Struthio camelus: one gene and its partners. The protein of the gene in region 2 interacts with the protein of the main gene of each other region in a pairwise test. Links are inferred from orthologs where the notes say so. Each region holds a gene or a part of one and is shown on either strand. Other genes may lie near its edges.

The links.
Region 1: the proteins of MYOD1 (region 2) and ID1 interact in a two-hybrid assay, tested with the Homo sapiens proteins (5 studies listed by BioGRID). The link is inferred for Struthio camelus from reciprocal best matches to the Homo sapiens genes MYOD1 and ID1.
Region 3: the proteins of MYOD1 (region 2) and ID2 interact in a two-hybrid assay, tested with the Homo sapiens proteins (2 studies listed by BioGRID). The link is inferred for Struthio camelus from reciprocal best matches to the Homo sapiens genes MYOD1 and ID2.

Annotation. Positions count from the first base shown.
Region 1 is NC_090959.1:18,479,604-18,485,664, forward strand, and holds ID1 (DNA-binding protein inhibitor ID-1), read left to right. Parts: upstream 1-4,611; 5' UTR 4,612-4,650; coding exon 4,651-4,992; intron 4,993-5,235; coding exon 5,236-5,277; 3' UTR 5,278-5,489; downstream 5,490-6,061. UniProt on the Homo sapiens protein: Transcriptional regulator (lacking a basic DNA binding domain) which negatively regulates the basic helix-loop-helix (bHLH) transcription factors by forming heterodimers and inhibiting their DNA binding and transcriptional activity.
Region 2 is NC_090946.1:20,186,390-20,193,368, forward strand, and holds the start of MYOD1 (myoblast determination protein 1), read right to left. Parts: upstream 3,010-6,979; 5' UTR 2,837-3,009; coding exon 2,276-2,836; intron 911-2,275; coding exon 832-910; intron 215-831; coding exon 1-214. UniProt on the Homo sapiens protein: Acts as a transcriptional activator that promotes transcription of muscle-specific target genes and plays a role in muscle differentiation. Together with MYF5 and MYOG, co-occupies muscle-specific gene promoter core region during myogenesis.
Region 3 is NC_090944.1:25,477,713-25,484,351, forward strand, and holds ID2 (DNA-binding protein inhibitor ID-2), read right to left. Parts: upstream 2,801-6,639; 5' UTR 2,664-2,800; coding exon 2,316-2,663; intron 2,009-2,315; coding exon 1,952-2,008; 3' UTR 1,944-1,951; intron 1,240-1,943; 3' UTR 595-1,239; downstream 1-594. UniProt on the Homo sapiens protein: Transcriptional regulator (lacking a basic DNA binding domain) which negatively regulates the basic helix-loop-helix (bHLH) transcription factors by forming heterodimers and inhibiting their DNA binding and transcriptional activity.

The DNA of each region.
Region 1 (6,061 bases), on a different chromosome or scaffold from region 2:
GGAGGGGAACGCGCAGGGGCTTTCTCAGGCCTCGGCCCTGCTCCAGCTGCGCGGCAGGAGCCGCCGGCCCCGCTCGCATCTGCGGCACCGCTCGCCCGCCGGCCCTGCGGCGCCCGGGGCCGAGGCCGGGGCTTCCCCGGCGCCCCGCTGCGCCCGGCCGGGCCGAGGGCGGCAGGACGAGCCCGAGCCTGGGCCAGAGCCGGGGCAGGGGCCGCGCCGGGCGGCCGGGGCGCGCTGCCCTCCCCGAGCGCCCGGCCTTTGCTGCGGGCGGCTGCCGGGCAACCTCTGCGCCGCGCAAAGCAGCCGCGACGTGCCGGGCCGGGCCGGGCCGGCGGCTCAGCCGCGTGCCAGCGCCATATGGCCGAGCCGGTGTTACCGCGCCGCCCGCCCCGTTCCCAGAATTGACATGGAAATGAAGCTATCCGTCTTGCTGGCCGACGCGGCCGGCCCGGCCGCCTTTCCCGCGGCCAGCGCGCCCGCCCCGGCCTCGCCACCACCTCTCGGATTTTCCCTGCGGCCGGCACGGCGCAGAGGAAGGGCCCTCGGCCGCCGCCGCCCCGGAGCAGCCGGCCCCGGGAGCGGGACGGGGGCCGGAGCAGCCGCCGTGGCCCCTGCGGCTCGGTGCTCCCTGCGCGCGGGCCCGGCCGGAGCGGCGCGCCGGGGCGGCCGCCAGCCCGGGGGCCGGGCTTGACCTTTCGGCCTCGGGGCCCCGAGCTTTGACATCTGGCTAATTCGCGCCGAGCGGCCGGCGGGGGATCTGAGGCGGCCGGAGGCGGCGAGCGGGGCCGGCGGCGGCGGCGCATTGTTGGCGGCGCAGCTGCGGGCGGCGGCGCTGAAAGGCATTCCTGCACACAATGTCCCGCGCGCCTCCGTGCGCGGGGGCCGCCGCCGCCAGATGGGGGCTAATTAGCGGCTTTGATTGCCTCTGTGGGAACCGGCCAGGCACCAGGCTCTCCGCGGGGCCCTGAATGGAGGGGGCGACCCCAGGGCTGTGCCCACCCTGGGAACCGCCACCGCCGGCGCCACCGCGGGCGGGGGGGCGCGGGGACAGAGGGAGGGCGAGGTGAAGGGATGCAGGGACAGATGGGTGCAGGGACAGAGGGATGCAGGGACAGAGGGATGCAGGGAGGGGGGCATAGAGGGCGAGAGAGGTGAAGGGATGCAGGGAGAGAGGGATGCAGGGATGCAGGGACAAGGATGCAAGGACAAAGGGATAGAGGGATGGACGGAGGGGGCATGGAGGGCAGGACAGATGCAGGGATGGAGGGACAGAGGGATGGAGGGATGTGGTCCCCCCAGATGGCCCGGCACAGGCTGAGCCAGAGACCGCAGGGTTTATGCAACCCAGAGGTTATGCACCCCGCGCTGGGGCCCTGCGTGCCCCGTGCCGGAGCGTTGCGCGCCCCGCGCCCTTGCAGCTTGCTCCCGCGCCGCTGCCGCTGCAGTGCCCTGCTGCGGCCGCGGCGAGCCCGGGTGACGAGGGCCCCGGGTGGCGAGCCGCGGGGCAGGGGCGCGCAGGCTGGCACCGCGCTGTCCGGGCGCCCCAGCCCCGCGCCGGCTTTGTTCGCCGCAGAGGCCGTCGCTGCTTCCTGCTGCCGCTAACAAAGCTGCGGCGCAGCCGGCCCCGCGGCCCCACGCGGGCAGGGGCAGGGGAGCTGCTCCCGCTCGCCCGGCACACGCGGGCACGCCACGGGGGGGGGGGGGGGGGAGTGTGTGTGCACGTGTGTGTGTGCGCACCGCTGGATTTGTGCATGTGCGTGAATGTGTGTGCGCGTGCACACGTTTGTGCGTGGCCGTGCACCAGGGCGCCTGGGCGCGCAGGCGTGTGCGCGTGCCTCGGCGTGTGCATCCGGGCGCGTGTACAGGGCACAAGGGCTGCCACTTTGCCTGGAGATTTTTCAGTTGCTTTCGCGCTGTTTCATGCCGTTTGGGGGTGGAGAGGGGCCGGGGGGGGCCTCTGCAGCACGGCTGGGGGGAAGACTGGGGCGGCTGCGCCAGGCGGCCCCGGCTGCCCGCTCGGCGCGCCGACAGCCCTGCGAGCAGCCACGGTGCGCGAGCGGCGTGGAGCCGGCCGGGCGGCAGGCGGGGGCCGGGACCCCGCGGGGGCTGCTGCGCGATGCGCGGCTGGCGAGGCTGCGGTCCAGGGCGCCGCTGCCTCCTGCCCCGGCCCCGTCATTCCTGTCTAGCCGAGACCCTGGATGAACCTCCCTACAGGTGCGAAGATAAGGTAACGATCATTAATGCTAATTAATGCTTGGATCGGAAGCCCTTTAGGGCAGGGACTGGTTTTCTGTTCCGTCTTACGCTGTGCCTTGCACGAGAGGCTGCAGCTGCGCAGATGCTACCTCCTCGCCCGGCCTGGCCTCCTGCCGGCCCCGCACCGCCCGTGCCGCGCGCCGCCGTCGGCCTGCCCCGCACGAGTCGCCTTTGCCGGGGGCTCAGCCCCGGGCACAGCCGCCGCGGCCCCGCGGCTCAGCAGGCGGCACGCGGCGGGGCCTGGGCACCAGCGCCCCACGGGGCCACCCGCCTGGGGCGGCAGAGCTGCGCCCAAGCGCTGGCGGGGCCCCAGCTGCCAGGTGACTCCCACGCTCTGGGGCAAGGAGGCACCCTGCGCCGGGAGGGCAGCGCTGCCCTGCACCTGCAGCCTGCACCGAGCGAGCGTGGCACAGCCCTGGCATGGCACGGCACGGCTGTGGGCACAGCATAGCCCCAGGCGCAGCACAGCCCCAGGGATGGCCATAGGCATGGCTCGGCTGTGGCATGGCACAGCACAGCCATGGGTACGGCACAGCCCCGGGCATGGCACAGCCCTGGGCACGGCCATGGGCACAGCACGGCCATGGGTAGGACACAGCTCCGGGCACGGCACGGCCCTGGGCACGGCCATGGGCACAGTACAGCCATGGGCACGGCACAGCCCCGGGCACGGCACAGCCCTGGGCACGGCCATGGGCACAGCACGGCCATGGGTACGGCACAGCCCCGGGCATGGCACAGCTCTGGGCACAGCCACGGGCACAGCACGGCCATGGGCACGACACAGCCCCGGGCACGGCACAGCCCTGGGCACGGCCATGGGCACAGCACGGCCATGGGTACCGCACAGCTCCGGGCACGGCACGGCCCTGGGCACGGTATGGCGCAGCCATGGCACGGTGCCGCACGGCCCCGGGCACGGCACGGCCACGCAGGACGGCGTAGCGGACCTCCCGCCCCAGCTCCGCGTTTGCAGCCGCTGCACAAAGATGGGTCGGGGGAGCGGGGGCGCCCCCCGGCACCCAGCCGGGCCCGGCACGGCCCCGCGGCGGCTCCCGCTGAACCCGGGGCCGGGAGCGCTGCGGGGGGGCCCGAGCCCCGCCGCCCGCCGCGCCCCGCCCCCGTCGCCATGGGCACCGCCCGCGAGGCGCCGCGCTGACAGCGCGCGGGGTTTTATGAATGGGTGACGTCACGGCCCTGGCGTCTAACGGTCTGAGCCGCCGGGGAGGCGGGGGGGCCGCAAGGGGCGAGCTGGGCTGCGGGGGGCCCGGGAGGGGTGCGGGGGCTGGGGAGTGCAGGGGACCCTGGGGCTGGGGAGAGATATGGGGTACAGGGGCCGGAGTGCAGGGGGCGGGGAATGCAGGGACCTGGGGGCTGCAGTGCATCCGGGGTGCAGGGCCAGGGGTGCAGGGGCTCTCCCGGGGCTGGGGAGAGCCATGGGGTGCAGGGGCCAGAGTGCAGGGGGTGGGGAATGCAGGGACCTGGGGGATGCAGTGGGTCGGGGATGCAGGAGTTGGGGGGTGCAGGGGACCTCGGTGCTGGGGAGAGCCATGGGCTGCAGGGACTGAGTGCAGGGGGCCGTGGGTGCAGGGAGCTGGGGCTGCAGGGGGCCTGGGGGATGTTGGCCCTGGTGGGTGCAGGGCCCCGGGGGCTGGGGAGAGCCATGGGCTGCAGGGGCCGGGGGGGTAGGGATTGGGGAATACAGGGACCTGGGGGATGCAGTGGGTCGGGGGTGCAGGGGACCTCGGTGCTGGGGAGAGCCATGGGCTGCAGAGGGCCCGGGGGCTGCAGCGGGCCTGGGGGGCTGAAGGAGGGCGAGCTGGGCTCTGGGCCCGGGGTGGTGCAGGGGTCCGCGGGCTGGAGGGGCCCAGCTGGAGAGGAGCCCAGGGGGGTCTCAGGGTCCCGGGGGCGGCCGTAGTAGGCTGTAGCCGGGCGTTTGGAGGCACCTCTGCCGCAGCAGCTCTGCTACCAGGGCCGAGCTCCAGGAACGCAGAGTAACTCAGCCCCATGAACGGGGGGCCAGGGCCCGGGGCCCGTGGCGGGGAAAGGTGTCCGCGCAGGCGGTGCGCCCCAGTGCTCCGTGCCCCGGTGGCCCCCGGTGACCCCCGGGCAGCGGCCCGACCTTCCCCCCCCCGCCCCCCCGCCAAGCCTCTACCCGCTCCTCCCCGGGGCAGCGCCACTGTCTCTTTAACACAGTCCCCTTCAGGGCTCATGAATGGGGGGGGGGGCGGGGCAGGCCCCGCCCTGCGGCGCTCCTATTGGCCACAGCCCGGCCCCGCGGCCCCGCCCCCGGCCGCAGCGCTCTATAAGTGGCGCGGCGCGGGGCGGCGGGAGTGCAGCGCTTCGCTCCGCGCCCGCAGGGTCCTGCTGCCGCCGGTCGCTGCCCGCCGCTCCATGAAGGTCGCCAGCGCCGCCCCCTCGCCGCTGCCCGCGGGCGCCGGCGGCGCGCTGAAGGCGGTGCGGCCCGGGGAGGCCGCGCGGTGCGGGCCGGGCCCGGGGGCGGCGACCGCCGCGGCCCCGGGGGCGGCGGAGCAAGCGGCGGCCGCCGCCGCGCTGCTCTACGACATGAAGGGCTGCTACTCGCGGCTGCGGGCGCTGGTGCCCACGCTGCCGCGGCACCGGCGCGTCTCCAAGGTGGAGATCCTGCAGCACGTTATCGACTACATCTGGGACCTGCAGCTGGCGCTGCAGCGGGGGCCGCCCTGCGCCGCCGCCCCCGGCGGGGACCCCCCCGAGGTGAGTGCGGCCCCGGCTCCGCTCCCCTTCCCGGTCGCTTTCACACCCCTCTCGCTCCGGGTGAACCCGCCGGGCCCCCCAGCGCCGCCGCCGTCCTCCCCGGCGGGTTGCACCTCCCTGTGGGCGCCCCTTCCACCTGCGGCAGCTCAGCAGCCCCCAGCCGGGGCCGCTCTCCCCTGCCGCCCTGCTCCCCCGGGGCTCCCGAAGCCAGCACTGACCGGCCCCCTGTCGCCCTTCCCGCAGGCTCCGTGCATGCCCGCTGCGGACCGGATCCTGTGCCGCTGAGACCTGCTCCGGACCTGCCAGGACCCGGCCCGGGCCCGGAGGGGGTGGCAGCCCGCGCCCCCCGCCGTGGGACTGTGCCGAGGGCGGCCCCGCGGCACGTATCCTTCTCAGATTGCTGAGAGCATTCCCTGTATTGTATATTACAATGATGCTGGAGAATATTGTTCTACAATAGTTGGAGTTTTGTTATTAAACAAGCCCTGGTTACGAGGCACGCTTCTCTCTTCTGGCCCTGTCCGCCCACGGAGCGCGAAGGCGGTGGGAGCCCTTCGTGGGCAGGGTGCCCCGTGGGGTGTGGGAGCCCTGGGGTCTGGGAAGCAGCCCAGCTCTGCTGATCCCCTGCCTGGATACTGCCCTGTACCCCCACCCCACCCCGTTCCCCTGTGTCTGTGCCCCTTGGGGCTGCAGATGGGGGGATGCTGCTGGGGTTTCTCCCCTTGGCCCTGTGGGCAGGCACACCCTGCATGTTGGTGGGAGGGGGCCAGGTCTGGGGCTTTGCCCCCCCACCTGGGTGCCTCTGGGGCTGGCCCTGCACCCTGGGCGTCCCTGTGCCCTCCCTGATGAGCCCTGTGGTGCTGGTGCAGCCAGGTGCCAGCCCAGACTGGCTTCCCCAGGGCTGGTGCTGCCCCATGGCGTGTGCCGAGCAGCATGGGCCTGGCCTTGCACAATTTCCCAGCTGGGCCAGTGCAGTGGTTCAGTGACTCGTGCAAAGTCACTGTGAGTCACTGCCTTTTGGCCCAGCTGGGAGGCTTGTGGCTATGGGGGGGGGGCCCAGCTGTGTGGG
Region 2 (6,979 bases):
TCCTGGGGAAGCGGGGTGCAGTTGGTGGGGGAAGGAATTTGGACTCCACTCTCATTCAGGTTGGCTCCTTCGGAGGGGGAACAGGGACTCCCTTCAGCAACGCTTTCCACTGCGGGCAGGACTGGACATGTGGAGTTATCTGTGGAAATCCTCTCCACAATGCTTGAGAGGCAATCAAGGCTAGAAACAACAGAACTCTTCCCATGCTTTGGATCTAAAGACAGACAGAAGAGGTGATCAATTTAGTCAATGGGTATTTAATGTCAGTAGGCTGTAGTTTTTTCAGAGAACCCCAACCAGTGGCTGACAGGGCATATCTGTGAGCATATTAAGATTGAGGAAAGGAATATTGGTGAAAGATGCCAGTTATCAGAAAACAGAGACTATAATTTGCAGAATGGGAAAAAAGGCCCAACTGAGGTATGATACTTTTCAAGAGGATGGGTGCAGGGCTTCACTTCAGTCCATAGAAAGGGAATGGAAGATTTGAATTCAATTGGCAATTTCTCCATGGTTTGGATCAGTGATATCCGGTTGGAACAATCCTTATGCAAAATGTAGTTAAACTCTGAAAACTGTTGGAATATATTCCAATATGTTTTTATCCAGACACTATGTTTGCAAAGTAGGAAATGCCACTATACTATATTCCCATATTTGCAAAGGCATCTAGAGGGAAATGCTATACATGTACTAGCATCGACAGCTCGCTGGCTGAAAAGCCCAGCCGGAGTCTGCTAAACAACCGGGGACAGAGAAGGCACAGGCAAGTCTGCTGCGCTGACCGTCTCTACCCCTATGTTTCACGTTGCCGTTACTGCAAATACTCACCATTTGGTGATTCCGTGTAGTAGCTGTTGTCGTAGCTGTTTCTTCTGCGGGAGTTGCAAGGAGGCCCACTGTATTCCATCTGGAAAGGAGAGAAATCTGCGTGAGATCACCAGTGGGGGGACAGCATTTTCCTCAAATATTTCCTCCCCAGTAACTATTTAACTTCACACTTCAGACCCTAGTCTGTGCCATAGCTCTCTAGTCCTGGCTGAAACACCACCAAGTTTTAGTTTTTTTGAATGAGGCAGAGCTTAACTTTGCTAGGAAGAAATTCCCCCCAGAATGTATTATGTGGCATAGTTATTTTAAAGGAAAATTACCATTGTTGTAACTAATGTACTAATGCTGTAGCTTTTCAAATGAAGTGAAGTCTTCCAGCGTTCTAATCAGAGGTTGCCCTTCGAATTGCAGCAGGGAGACCAAGGGGGGAAAAGTCTTTTTTCAGTTTAATTTCTGAAGACTTTTCCAAGCATGAATTCCTTTAAAAAACCCACTAGTCCACCTTTGTGCCTTTTTATTTCCTTTGGTTTCTCTCCCCACTATTACTTTGTATAGAGAAAAAAAAGCAAGCATTCTGACCAGTATTTTTGTTTCTGGTACTTCCACCCACAGTTACATGGCTCTTACCGAGAGGAGAAAAAAGGCTGTATTTTGAGGAGGGATCAGTTGTGTAAATTTTCTCCCCGATCTGCCAGCTATCTCACAATCCCAGATATTCAGCTCAGTAATAATTATCCCCACCAGAGAACATAGCCAACTCAGGAAGTCTTAAAAGTGCTCTTGTGGTTCTCATCTCAGCTATCCTGTACTCCAGTCACCACATCCCACCATCCTCGAGTCAGGCCACGGAGTCTAAAACTATAGTCCCAAGAAAGAAATTAGGTGACGAGACACCCTCTCTGGCACTCGCTCTTCTTCTCCCCTCTCCCCATAATGCACAAACAGAGGTGAAAGCCTGGGGTCTCCTTCCTGTTGCTGGTAAATGTCTTGAGGGGGGAGAACCTTTTTCATAACGGTCAAGAAAAGCAACTCCTGTTGCTCAGACCGTGCTCCTCTTATCAGGACTAATGTCAGAAAAGAAAACCCAGACTTAGCAGTTCCCCTGTGAGTTTTCCCCTGCAGTTATCATGGCAGGGGGGACCTCCCTCACAGCTGTCCCTAGGGGACGCAGGGCTAAGGGTACAGGAGATGGAAACGGAGATGCCCCGGGAGCGCGGGCAGGACTCGCACCTCTCGGCGCTCCCGGCGCCCTTCCCAGAGCGGTCCCCCAGCAGCTTTCCCCGGGACCCAGGGAAACCTGCCCAACTTCTCATCCCCAGGAAGGAGCGCCTGAGAGACTTCTCCCTTCTCTTCCAGGGGCGCTGGCGTGGGGGGACCCCACCGCCCTTGGCCGCCGGAGGTGGAGGCGCAGAAGGGGACTTTGTCCGCCGGCGGGGGCACTCACCATGCCATCGGAGCAGTTGGAGCGGGGGCTGGAGGCGTCCGACTCGCCGCTGTAGTGCTCCAGCACCGGGTAGTAGGCGTCCTCCTGCTCGCGCAGCAGCGCCTGCAGGCTCTCGATGTAGCGGATGGCGTTGCGGAGGATCTCCACCTTGGGCAGGCGCTGGTTGGGGTTGGTGGAGGTGCAGCGCTTGAGGGTCTCGAAGGCCTCGTTGACCTTGCTGAGGCGCCGCCGCTCCCTCATGGTGGCCGCCTTGCGGCGGTCGGCGTTGGTGGTCTTCCTCTTGCAGGCCTTGCAGGCCCAGAGCAGGCAGCGGCCGGCCTGGTGGTGCCCGCTGGGCGCCCGCACGTGCTCCTCCTCGTGCGGGTGCCCGTGGTGGTGCCCGTGGTGGTGCGGGTGCTCCTCGGGCTTCAGCAGGCCCCCGACGTGCACCAGCCGCGGGTCCAGGTCCTCGAAGAAGTGCATGTCCGACGTGTTGAAGCAGGGGTCGTCGTAGAAGTCGTCGGCGGCCGAGAAGGAGCAGAGGGAGCCCTCCGTCATCTCCATGGGGCCCAGTAAGTCCATGGGGGCGGCGGCGGCGCCGCCCGGGGCCGAGGGCGGGAAAGCGCGCTCGGGCCGTTGACGGCCGTTGACGGCCGGTGGCGGCGCGCGCGGCGCGGAGCGGAGCCCCGCGGCTCCCCTCTGCCAGGCGAGGCCACCAGCGCTGCCGCCGCCCGCCCCTCCGCCGCCGCGCCGCGCCGGTCCGGCAGCGCCGCTCGGGGCCGTATTTATGCCGGAGCCCCCCGGGCGGCGCGGCGCGGCGGGACGGGGCGGGGCGGGGAGGGGGCCGCGGCTCCCCCCCCCCCCCCATCCCGGGGGCCGGGCGGTGTCAAACGCGTGTGGTTTTAACGCCCCGCCGCCCGCCCCTCGGTGCAGGCAGGCGCGGCGAGAGCGGGCGGCGGCCGCCGGGGGGCGCTGGGCCCCGCGGTCGGTGCGCCCGTCGGCGAGGCCCGTCGAGGCCCGCTTTCCCCGGGCGTTAACGGACTTAGACCGTCGCGTTTGCTCCGCGGCCCGGGAAGAGACGGAGGCTGGCTGAGGTGGTGACGGCCCGGGTTGCTTGCGCGGTAAGGGTGCGTTGTTTTCAGGTAACTCGGCGATGGCAGAGCCGCGGCCCTAGAGACACGGGACGTGTTTTGGGGGGGTGGGGGGGGGGTAACGTCTCTCAGGTCTTGCTAGAGTGTTTGCGCTGTTTTGGGAATATCGCTCGAGCCGAGAAATTGAGCTCTTTTTGTGGTGTGGAAGCACTCCAGCAATTCAGCTGCGTGATTTCATTAACTTAATGATTAAAATAGTTACGGGTGTTTTTATCTGCCATGGGCTAAGATTAATCTCCACTCTGCCCTTACAGAGGCTGCTGAAAATCTGACTTATTTAAAATCGAAGGCAAAGCTCTGGCCTCAATGGGCTAAAGGGCAGCTTAGAAGGGTCTGTAAAGGTAAAATATCAACTGGTGACCTAGTCCTCAGTTCCTGCGCCTGTGACTTTTCAGACGGGTCATTGTAACGGTGTGTTCATTGCTAGTTACGTGATTTGGTTTCCCAGTCTGCAGTCCCCGTGGTCTACTTGCTTACACGTCTTCACGTACAGGCAGAGATAACTGTTAGTCACGTCCTATCGTTACTCCCCAAAGATCAAATTTTTATTTAAAGGAAAAAGTAGATATTTTGGACTCTGTACAACTTTGTTGTTTCACCGTATCCAATGCTGAAAAGTGATACGTCCCAATGAGATCAGCTATTGACCACCCTAACACACTGAGAAGTGTATCTGCCAGCTGCTCTGAGAGGCAGAGTAGCAACCTTGTGGAAACCCTCCGCTGTTGTTACAGAGGTTTCTTTGATCCAGAAGGAATGAACAGCTTTTGCTGTTCTGAAAAATCTCTCCTGAACAGCTAAAACACCGTAAAAACAATTTGTATTGAAAATAATACAGTAATGCATATTAAGTATAAGTGAGAAATAGTTATATGCTATAACAGCTAAACGCGTACATTGGGTATCAAGGCTTGGTTTTGGCGCTGGCCACGTTACTTGGCTCAAGACACTTCATCTCTCTGTAGCTTACTTGTTTCATTTGTGGAAAAGGTAATTCTACGTGATGTTTACACAGCATTGTAGGATATTCTGCCACTTTAAGTGTGTTTCTAGATTATACTTGACCCCAGAAAAAGGCATTCTGGGACTTGTGCAAATAATGGTTACCTTGGGCAAAGCAGTAACAAAGGCTGGGACTTGGACAAGTGATACACAAAGACTTCAAGTAACTGCCAATGCAATGCAGTCTAGCGCTTGCACGCTCTAGGGAGTCTCTTCTTTCAACCTGTGGCAGCATGCATGTGTCCCAAGACATGGGTTAGTAAAAGCATATCTCGGTTTGTCACCTAGGTGAAAAAGTCAGGAGAGAGAGCCATGACCAGATGGTATAGTTTGCATGGAGTGTTCTTCTACTGAAGGTGCCTTTGAAGACTCATCCCCCACGGTCGCTACCAAAACCAACATTCACTTTCCAGTATTCTTCCCAAAGATGGATTGGTCCAGAAAGAGGCTGCATTGTATTGTGAGTCTGAGAGTCTTTGCAAAGAACAAAACCCACAGGTGTTCTTCTCAACTTAGGGTGGCCATAGTGGAGAGGATGAAGGACAGCATGGTCTTCCCCTAGGTATTTTAATGAATTCCTCATTTTGAGACTAGGCAACAGCAAGGGCCCCATTTGTGCAGCCTTAGATCGTGCTTATGGCGGAATTTAGAAACATGCTACTGTTAAGTGTCTGTCTGGAAGCCACTGTGGCTGTTACTCATCATTTCAGTAGAGATTAGGTCTCTCCAAAGCTTTTGATTTGGATGCTCTATTTCAGTACTGGTGTTTCTATGGCTCTTCTAAGCCTCCCAGATCCTGGATCTGGATGGATTGGGCATTGCTGTGGAATTACACCTGCAGGGGTGTGCATATGAGCACGCATTCAGCAGAGGAAGCAGATTCTTATGGTTACTTTAAATGGTGCTATATACCTGTTGCACGTTTCGTCCTTCATCTCCTTTTTTTTTCAGGGTGTAGTGGAAAGGAAGCTGAGACGGGGGAAGCAGATTGTACTGCTTATGCTGAGGAGCATACATGGACACTCATCCTATACACGATGTACAGGTATTGTTAACAAAGTCCCTGAGGTCACATGCGTGAGCATGTGCACACCCTCAGCAGAAGCAGCATATGCACAAAAAGAACTTCGGTTATCTATAGTAATTGATTTAATTCTCTTTTTCAGAGGATGAAGATTGGGAAAATAACTGATTGGGAGTTTCTCTACCTGAAATTAACAGAATTCTTTCTGTAGGCAGAGGGCCCAGAAGGTGTTTTGGAAAAGTGAGAAACAAAGGACTTAAAATTCTGAGAACGTGCCAACACATTTTGCCACAAAGATGAAGACCAGAGGAGTGGATCTCTGAGAAACTTGCTGCTTCTTTCTCCCTGAAATATTGCCACGTATGTAAGTTGTGCACTGTAAAGTTTAAACATTGGACTTCTGTTAAGGTAAAGAGAGAGGGTCTAAGTGCTGGAAACTGTGGAAGAAGCTATACCTATATTTCAGAAGGTTAAGAACTGTCAAAGTAGAAGATTGTTGTAGAAACAGTAGTAATACTTGAAGGGTTTTTATGACACTAGTTTATTATTCAATGAGTATTTTTGCTCCATTCATACTTAATGAGCTATATTTTAATACTGAGGATGGATTCCATTGCTCTTATTCATGTTGAGTTAGAGTCAGGGAAACTAATTGTTGAATAAGGTATGCTCAGCATGCGGATGGGTGTTGCAATCTAGCCCAGATGGAAATATCTTTTAAACTACTGCCAGTCATCCCAACATAGGCAAATCCAGTATGTTGCTGGAAGTGCTTCAAACCATTCATGTAGCACATTGCAGTAATTTTTTTTTTTTTAAAAAGGAGCATAGAGGGGAAGTTTCAATGTGATTTCCTCCCTCCCCACCCGTCACCATAAAGCTGAATCATTAACAGAAAGGGATTGGGAAAACATCTGAATTGTAGTTGTCTGTCCTGTGTTACAACATCAGCAGAAAGTAGGTGGGCTAATGTGGCTTTACAGAAATAGGTACTTAATGCTACCGTGTGTAGAAGTCAAAATTGACTTAGTGTTTCCTTGTGCAGTGTTTTTACCTTAATGCAGTTTTCCAATATGTTTGTTTTCATTTTGTGGTGTATATTTCTATCTTGTGTAACTTTCTTGGGGGCAGATAGACTCTGGCACAGTTTTGTCAATAGGCAAAGTCTCTTGGAGAAGAACATTAGCATGCATATTTGGAAAACTTAAAAATTTGCATCTGCATTATTTCTTACATTGAACTGAATTTATTTTCAAATTTAACAACAGAAACATTGATTACAGTATTACATAAAAGTTGGGGTTTGTTCCACTGAAAGATTAACTCAAATTGCCTAAAAGCTGTGGTATATACCGACTTAAGAACCTAGTTCCAGGCAGCTGATTTAGCCAGTTGCTCTTCCTAGGTGACCTTGTTAGTCAATGTAGAGAAGGAGAGGCATTCCTGTAGGAGCTGACTGGAAGGAATTTAGACTCCTCTGAACTTTAACCCAGCTGGCTAAAGTGAAGGCTTTAAGTTTGGCAGTGTGAATGCCCCCCTCAACTGAAA
Region 3 (6,639 bases), on a different chromosome or scaffold from region 2:
CATGTCATTGAAATATTGCATGGAAGCATGAAAATTCCAGTGTGGAAAGGCAACAGTCACTTCATCATTCTGGATCCCATGTTAACGCATCACCAACTCTTGTAGTCAAAGCCTTTTTTACAGAAATTTAATAGTTGGGGAACTAATAACCACCCACAACCCTTTAATTCTGAGTGATTAATCTAAACACATATTAACAGATCTGGGGCATTGCTACTGAGAACTGAAAGTGAATCATCCGTTGGGGTTAAAAAAAAAAAAAAAAAAAGTCACACTCTGGGGGAATGTCTATGGATTAACTGCTTTTGTGTGTGTTTCCCAACACTTTGTCAATAGCATCCCCTCTGTAATAAATTACTTCACTAGTTCCTTTCACACTGTTTATCAGCAAATCATCCAGCAGTTTGAAATATACACTCAAATAAGATTTTCCAGGTTACAAGAATTATTATTCACTATAGGTAATTTTATTCTTTATGTTCTCTACATACTTGAACTTTTACTCAGTAAAATCATAACAGAATGTATAAGTATTTAAAAAACAAATCAAAGCCACAAACCGCTGGTCCCCAAAGAATAAAAGCAAGCAATCAGTTCAATAAACACACTTGATTTATTTTGTATAAAAAGGGTTAAGTTTACAACTAAACTTTTATAAAAAGTTTAGCATGATTAAGTACATCATTACACTTTTTGCAGAAATTTACATTTCTGCCACTATACAAGAAAACTCTAATTAAAGAGTTCACAAGGTTTCACTCATATATATATATTTATATATAAATATATACACAGCATTCAGTCCTAGGTTTGTGTCAAAAAAGGTAATTTCTGACCGTAGACTTTCCTAAAAAACTGAACACTGGATCCTTCTGGTACTCACGCTCCACCTTTGGAAAAAAAAGGCAAAGTCTGCTTAAAAGGGGCAACTCCTCGTGAGATTTTGTTTCGCTCCCCACGTTGGGAATAGTATATAAAGGAAGCCTTCCAACTAGGGAAAGGGTATTTAAGAGTCTCTTCATAAATAACTAGGTTCAGTCCAAGTTGAAGAATGGGGTGGGGATAAAGATCAATCTTGATTTTTCTTCTTTATTAATTTTAAAAGGTCCTTTTACAGTTAGATGTGGATTCCCCCTCCAGATACAGCTGAAAAATAAATTCAGCACCTCAAAAAAAAAAAAAATCCTGTAGACATCTTCTTGTGCAAAAAAAAAAAAAAAAATCTCATCAGTGGAACACCTGCAAAAGATTGAAAAGAGGCGTATTTAGGAGAATGCTAACAGGGCAGAGATCCGGACAGACTGGCGCCAGAGAGGAAGCCACAGTTTGAACATTTAACCAAACACTCAAAGATTGGGCAAACCCTGGCGTCCAGATGCAACACATACACGCTCACACACTCACTCTCAAGAGCTCAAATTGAACATTAAAATAACATACACTCAAGGGAAAGGACAGAAAGAGGATTCTCAGTCCAATCTCTATTTAGATCTCTGTAAATGCACTGCTCAGAGGCGCCAGTCTGCCTCTTACAGCAATTATTTGATAAAAAGCAGTCATTTATTTAACTGATAGTGTAGACAATCCCACATGACAAAATTTAAGAAATTGTGCCAAGATTCCCAACTTAATCAGTCACTCTGGCCTGGGAAGTTAAGACTTCGGGAACAGATAACCAGAGAATTGGCATTAAGCGGTGAGTAGTATCAGAGCACTCAGTCCGGGCTGCTTAATTATTCTTAGAGACCAAAATATACTTTGGACTATCAGGCTCGATTATTAGTCTAAATTTTATGGTTGGATTGCTGGTTATAAAAGGCATCTCCTAATCAGCTTTTAGGATAGACTTCTTTCAGACAGCAACAGCCTCATAAACAGAATTTTTCCATTCTAAATGGAAGCACTTTCATCTGAAGGTTAAAAATAAGATTCCCTTTACTCACCGTTTGATTTAGCCACAAAGTGCTTTGCTGTCATTTGACATTAGTTCTGAGGGGAATTCAGATGCCTGCAAGCAGAAAATACAACAAAACAGAGCAGCGTTAAATGCCTTAGCAGTCGAAAAAGCAGAAAAAGTACTCTGGGTCGTGAAGTTCTTCGCTCATGACATGTTTTGAGAGAAACTCACAACGATGGCTAGCAGAGGTAGTGGCAGTTTTGTTGGAGTTTCCGTACGTTTTAATGTAGTGCTGTTTCTTCAGTAACCATTGCTCGGGGTGGCCGCGTTCTGCGCTCAAGACAGTTCGAACACTGACTTAAAATACCGTATCTAGGTCAATGGACAGAGAGGGGGTAGCTGCAGGGAGGCCACTTACCTGTAACGACAGGATGCTGATGTCTGTGTTTAAGGTGGTCAGAGGAGTTCTGGAAGAAGGATTTTGTCCGGGTCTCTGGTGATGCAGACTGACAATACTGGGATGTGAATCTAAGGCGATCTGCAGGTCCAGAATGTAGTCGATAACGTGCTGCAGGATTTCCATCTTGCTCACTTTCTTGTTCTGAGGGATGCTGGGCACTAGCTCTTTCAGTTTGGAGTAGCAGTCATTCATGTTGTACAGCAGACTCATAGGATCATCCACGGGGGTTTTGCTCCGGGATATGCCTAGGTTGTGCTCCGAGAGGCTGTTTTTCCTGACAGATCTCACAGGACTGAAAGCTTTCATGCTGAAGGACGGACGGAGAGAGCGGTTCCAGCGCACAGAAACACTGTGGGAGCTCGCTCTCCGCCCGCTCGCCTGCCTGCCTGCCTGCCTGCCTTCCCTCTGCCTCGCAGCTGCCGGAGCGCAGAATGAAGCGCTCGCCTGCCCGTGCCGGCTTTTATACCGCAGGCGCAGGAGCTGCCAAATCCAGCCTGTGCTCGCTGCCATTGGAGGCGACCGGCATGTCCATCAGGCCCCGAGACGCTCTCACTGGTACAAATGGGAGCGGAGCGGCTGCTCGGGCCTTCCGCGTTGAGAGCCAATGTGGGGAGGGAGGTGTGGCTGCGCCCGGCACAGCTGAGGGTAGTAAATACTGTACAGTAGATGCCGAGCCCGGCCTCGCAGCGAGCGTTTTGCAAAGGCGCTTAGGGGGGGATGAAACGGGCATTTTCACATTGCGGTTGCGGAGCTCGGAGTTCGGTCACAAAATCCCTCAGCCCTCTCCCTCTGTGCTTCTCCCGCTGGTATAAAAGACATCCCCCCCGACTATTCTCCTCTCTGTTTTGCAGAGTTAAAGTAGGAATAAAAAAATGCTGCAAGGGTAAAGGCTGAGAAAGAGAGGCTGGGGTGAGTGTGCGCAGATTATTAAGGGCAGACGCTGAAGGAGAGAGGAATGCGTTGCTGTAAGCAGTCTGTGTGGACAACGTGATACAGCTAGGTGAGAGTTACTGCCACAACAAGGTGTCGGCGAAGGCTGAGACGTCCTGAAAGTCCCTTTGAATTAGAGTACCAAGCAACTCTTCAGAGTGCCTGTTTGAAAATACGGCTGCGTACATCAATGGGCAGGCTCAGTAGCAGAGCGCTGTAGGCTCCAGATGTAGGCAGATCTAAGTGTGAAACGTAAAGACAAATAAACATATACAATCAACGGGAACTTTCTTCTCTGACGACAGGACACTGCTACAAGGCTGGCAGCTCACAGAGCCCTGACAGACTAAGAAGTCACTGTTTGCTTGCCGTTTCCTGAGGACAGGGCTATTTTAAATGATGCTATTAATTGGAGATCATTAGGCAAATGTGCATATTGAAAGTACATTTGCATGTATTACCCTTGAAAGGCTGTTCATCTGCATCCTATCAGTGCGTGTGACATGTTACCGTAATTAATTATGCATAGATTGTTTCTGGTGACAAATGTGAACACTTACTGCACGCTGTACTTTTTGCGGCTTTTGGTTGCAGCCAATGAAACATCTTCCAGAAACATTCCAGAGGAAAAAGTTGGGGGTTTTGTTTAACTGGAGAAATGATTTAGATTTTTTTTCAAGCTTAGGTCAATTGCATTTCTCTGTATTTTGCTCATACCAACTGCTCTGCAACATGCCAATGTCCTCCCCCCCCCCATCTTTTCACATGACTTAAACTTAGAAAAGCGTACATTTCCATACACGATTAATATGCATGGTATTCTACTCAACACACAGCAATTCTGTAATAACCTCCTGAATGCTTAAAGTGCCTTGTTCTTTATTTCAAACAACAGCGTAGACATGACATCTATAAAATCAGTTAAGATTGTACTGCCTATCGTGACTATTAAAAGCAGACAAATACTGGATTTATCTGTGCTGTTGTTGCATAGCTACACTAAACGAATTGGGGCTGTGGGGGAGGAACGTTACGGACCCTCGGAGAAAAAGCTCTATGGAGATCGGTGGATGTTTTTCTCCAATTAATGTTGCATTCCTTAGCTGGTGTTTTGCTGTTCTCTAACAGGACATTTTGGTGGCCGTAACACAAGCTTATTTGCCCCAGGGCTTTTATCGGAGGGTGGACGGTAGGCGGTGCTGAGGCTGACAGGAACACAATTCAGTCATTTTGAGATGTGAAGGGTGAAAGTGAATCTCTACGTTCAATCTGATAGGAAGACAAACACGTTGTTCAAGTGCAGTTAAAGAGCGTAAATAATAATAAAAACCACCCTGTCAATTAGCAACTTGATTAAAATAACCCGCTTTACAGCAGCTTTAATTCTTTTGTACTTTACCTCACTAAAATCTCCATTTAAATCATATCTGCCACTCGCTTTGCTGCCACAGGTTTTAGCCCTTCAGCGTGTTTGTATTTCTGTCTCATGAATGCACCAGTGGAAGAAATTTTATTTTGACACTATTTTTGGCATAATAATAGCCAATGTAAACAAGTATGTTCATGCTTCTTCCATCATTATTTGTCATTCTTGGACAGTGAAACAATGTTACAGTAACGTCCTTCTAGTCTTTGCAAAGGACGTGTTTGCAACTGGTTTCATTTTTCCATGCTAAGGGCTTAACACACTTTTTAGAATAGTGAGGAGTTATATGCAGAGCGGCTAACGTGATCATTTTCTCGGCTGTCAGATGATTGTAACGCGCTCCTTCTGCGTGGAAAGTACAATTTGTGCATGTGTAAACTCCAGGTCTCCTAAAGGCAGATTTTTCTTTTTTCCGTAAAATTTCATTCCCTTCCTTGCGTTCTTTTAACCTTGAAAGGTTTTGCAGTGGGTTGCTCGCTCTGAAAACGACTCTCTTTGCTCTCTAACGCACGTAATGCAAACTGTTCTAGCAGCCCTGCGTTTTGTAAGTGGTGCGGCCCCTGACAAGGAGCTATGCGAGGAGGCTGATGTTTTCTGGAGGGAGTCGCAGAAGCCACCGCACCACGGCTTTGCGCTGCTCTTCAGGGGCAGCTCCAAGCGCGGCCCCAGCGGGCACCGGCACGGCCCTCCGGCGCCAGTCCCCCCAGGACGGACGTCCGCCTCTAGTTTTCAGCCTGGACTTTTATAGCCAATTCCCAACCCCGAAAGGCTGCTGCAAACATCTGGTAGGAAACCATCGCCGCTGGCAGCGCACAAAGCGCCGTTTCTCCTCCTCGCCCTCCCTCCCCCCCCCCCCCCAGCGCCGCGCCGCCGCCAAGCGGCACCAACGCGGGGCGCGGGGGCCCCGCTCCGCCCCGCCCCGCCCCGCCCGGGGGGCAGCGGCCGCCCCCGCCGTGGGGGGCCCCGGCGCCAGGCCGCGGCGGCGGCGGCGGCGGCGGCGGCGGCGGCGCCCCCCCTGCCCTGCCCTGCCCTGCCCTGCCCTGCCCTCCCCTCCGCGGCGCGGCGCTCCGCTCCGCGCCCCGCCCCGCCGCCCCGCGCCCGGGCCGGGCCGGGCCGGACTGCGCGGCGCCAGCCCCGTGACATCAGCCCCTCGCCGCCGCTCCCCCCGCCCGCGCCGCCCGGGCCCGGCGGCGCCGCTCAGGCGGCTGCCATGGCGACCGGGGCTGAGCCCGGGGCGGCGGGAGGCGGCGCGGCCGGGCCCCGCTTCCCCCTCCCGGGCGCACCTGCAGCGGGGGCAGCGGCCGGACACCACCTCCCCCCTCCCCCCTCCCCCCCCGGCCGTGCGAGCTGGGCTCCGCGCCGCCGCCCCGCCGCGCCGTTCCGCAAAAAGAGGGAAAAAATAAAAAGCGCGCCCAGATGGACGCGCCGCTCGGCTCCGGCCCGGGCTTCCCCGCCGCGCCCGGCCCTCGGCGCCGCCCGCGCCCGCGCAGCGCTGCGGGAAGGGCCGCGGCCGCCCCGGGAGCCCCGGCCCGGCCCTCCGCGGGTGGCGGAGGGGGAATGCCCCCCTCCGGCTGCCTCGTTTTCCCTTTGAGAGAAAACGTGCGTTTCTGCAAAAGGGGAAGAAAATACACTTGGGGAAAAAAAAAAAACCTTTTTTTTTTTTTTGCACGGTAGGATTTTCTAGGGAGAGCATCTGGATTGCATAATACTCCAGGTTGTGGCTTTGTGCGCTTGACACGAATCCTGGGAAAATGGGGTTCTCAACCCCAGCACGCCCGAGTCGATTATCCTTCTCCCTCTGAAGGGCCTGCAAGTTCTTGCGTGCATCGTATCCTATGCTTTTAATGAAATTTATTTATCTAAAACATCTAGTAATAATGTCAATGGGTTTAATTGCCATGTATTTAAGCCATCAAACTAGAGTAA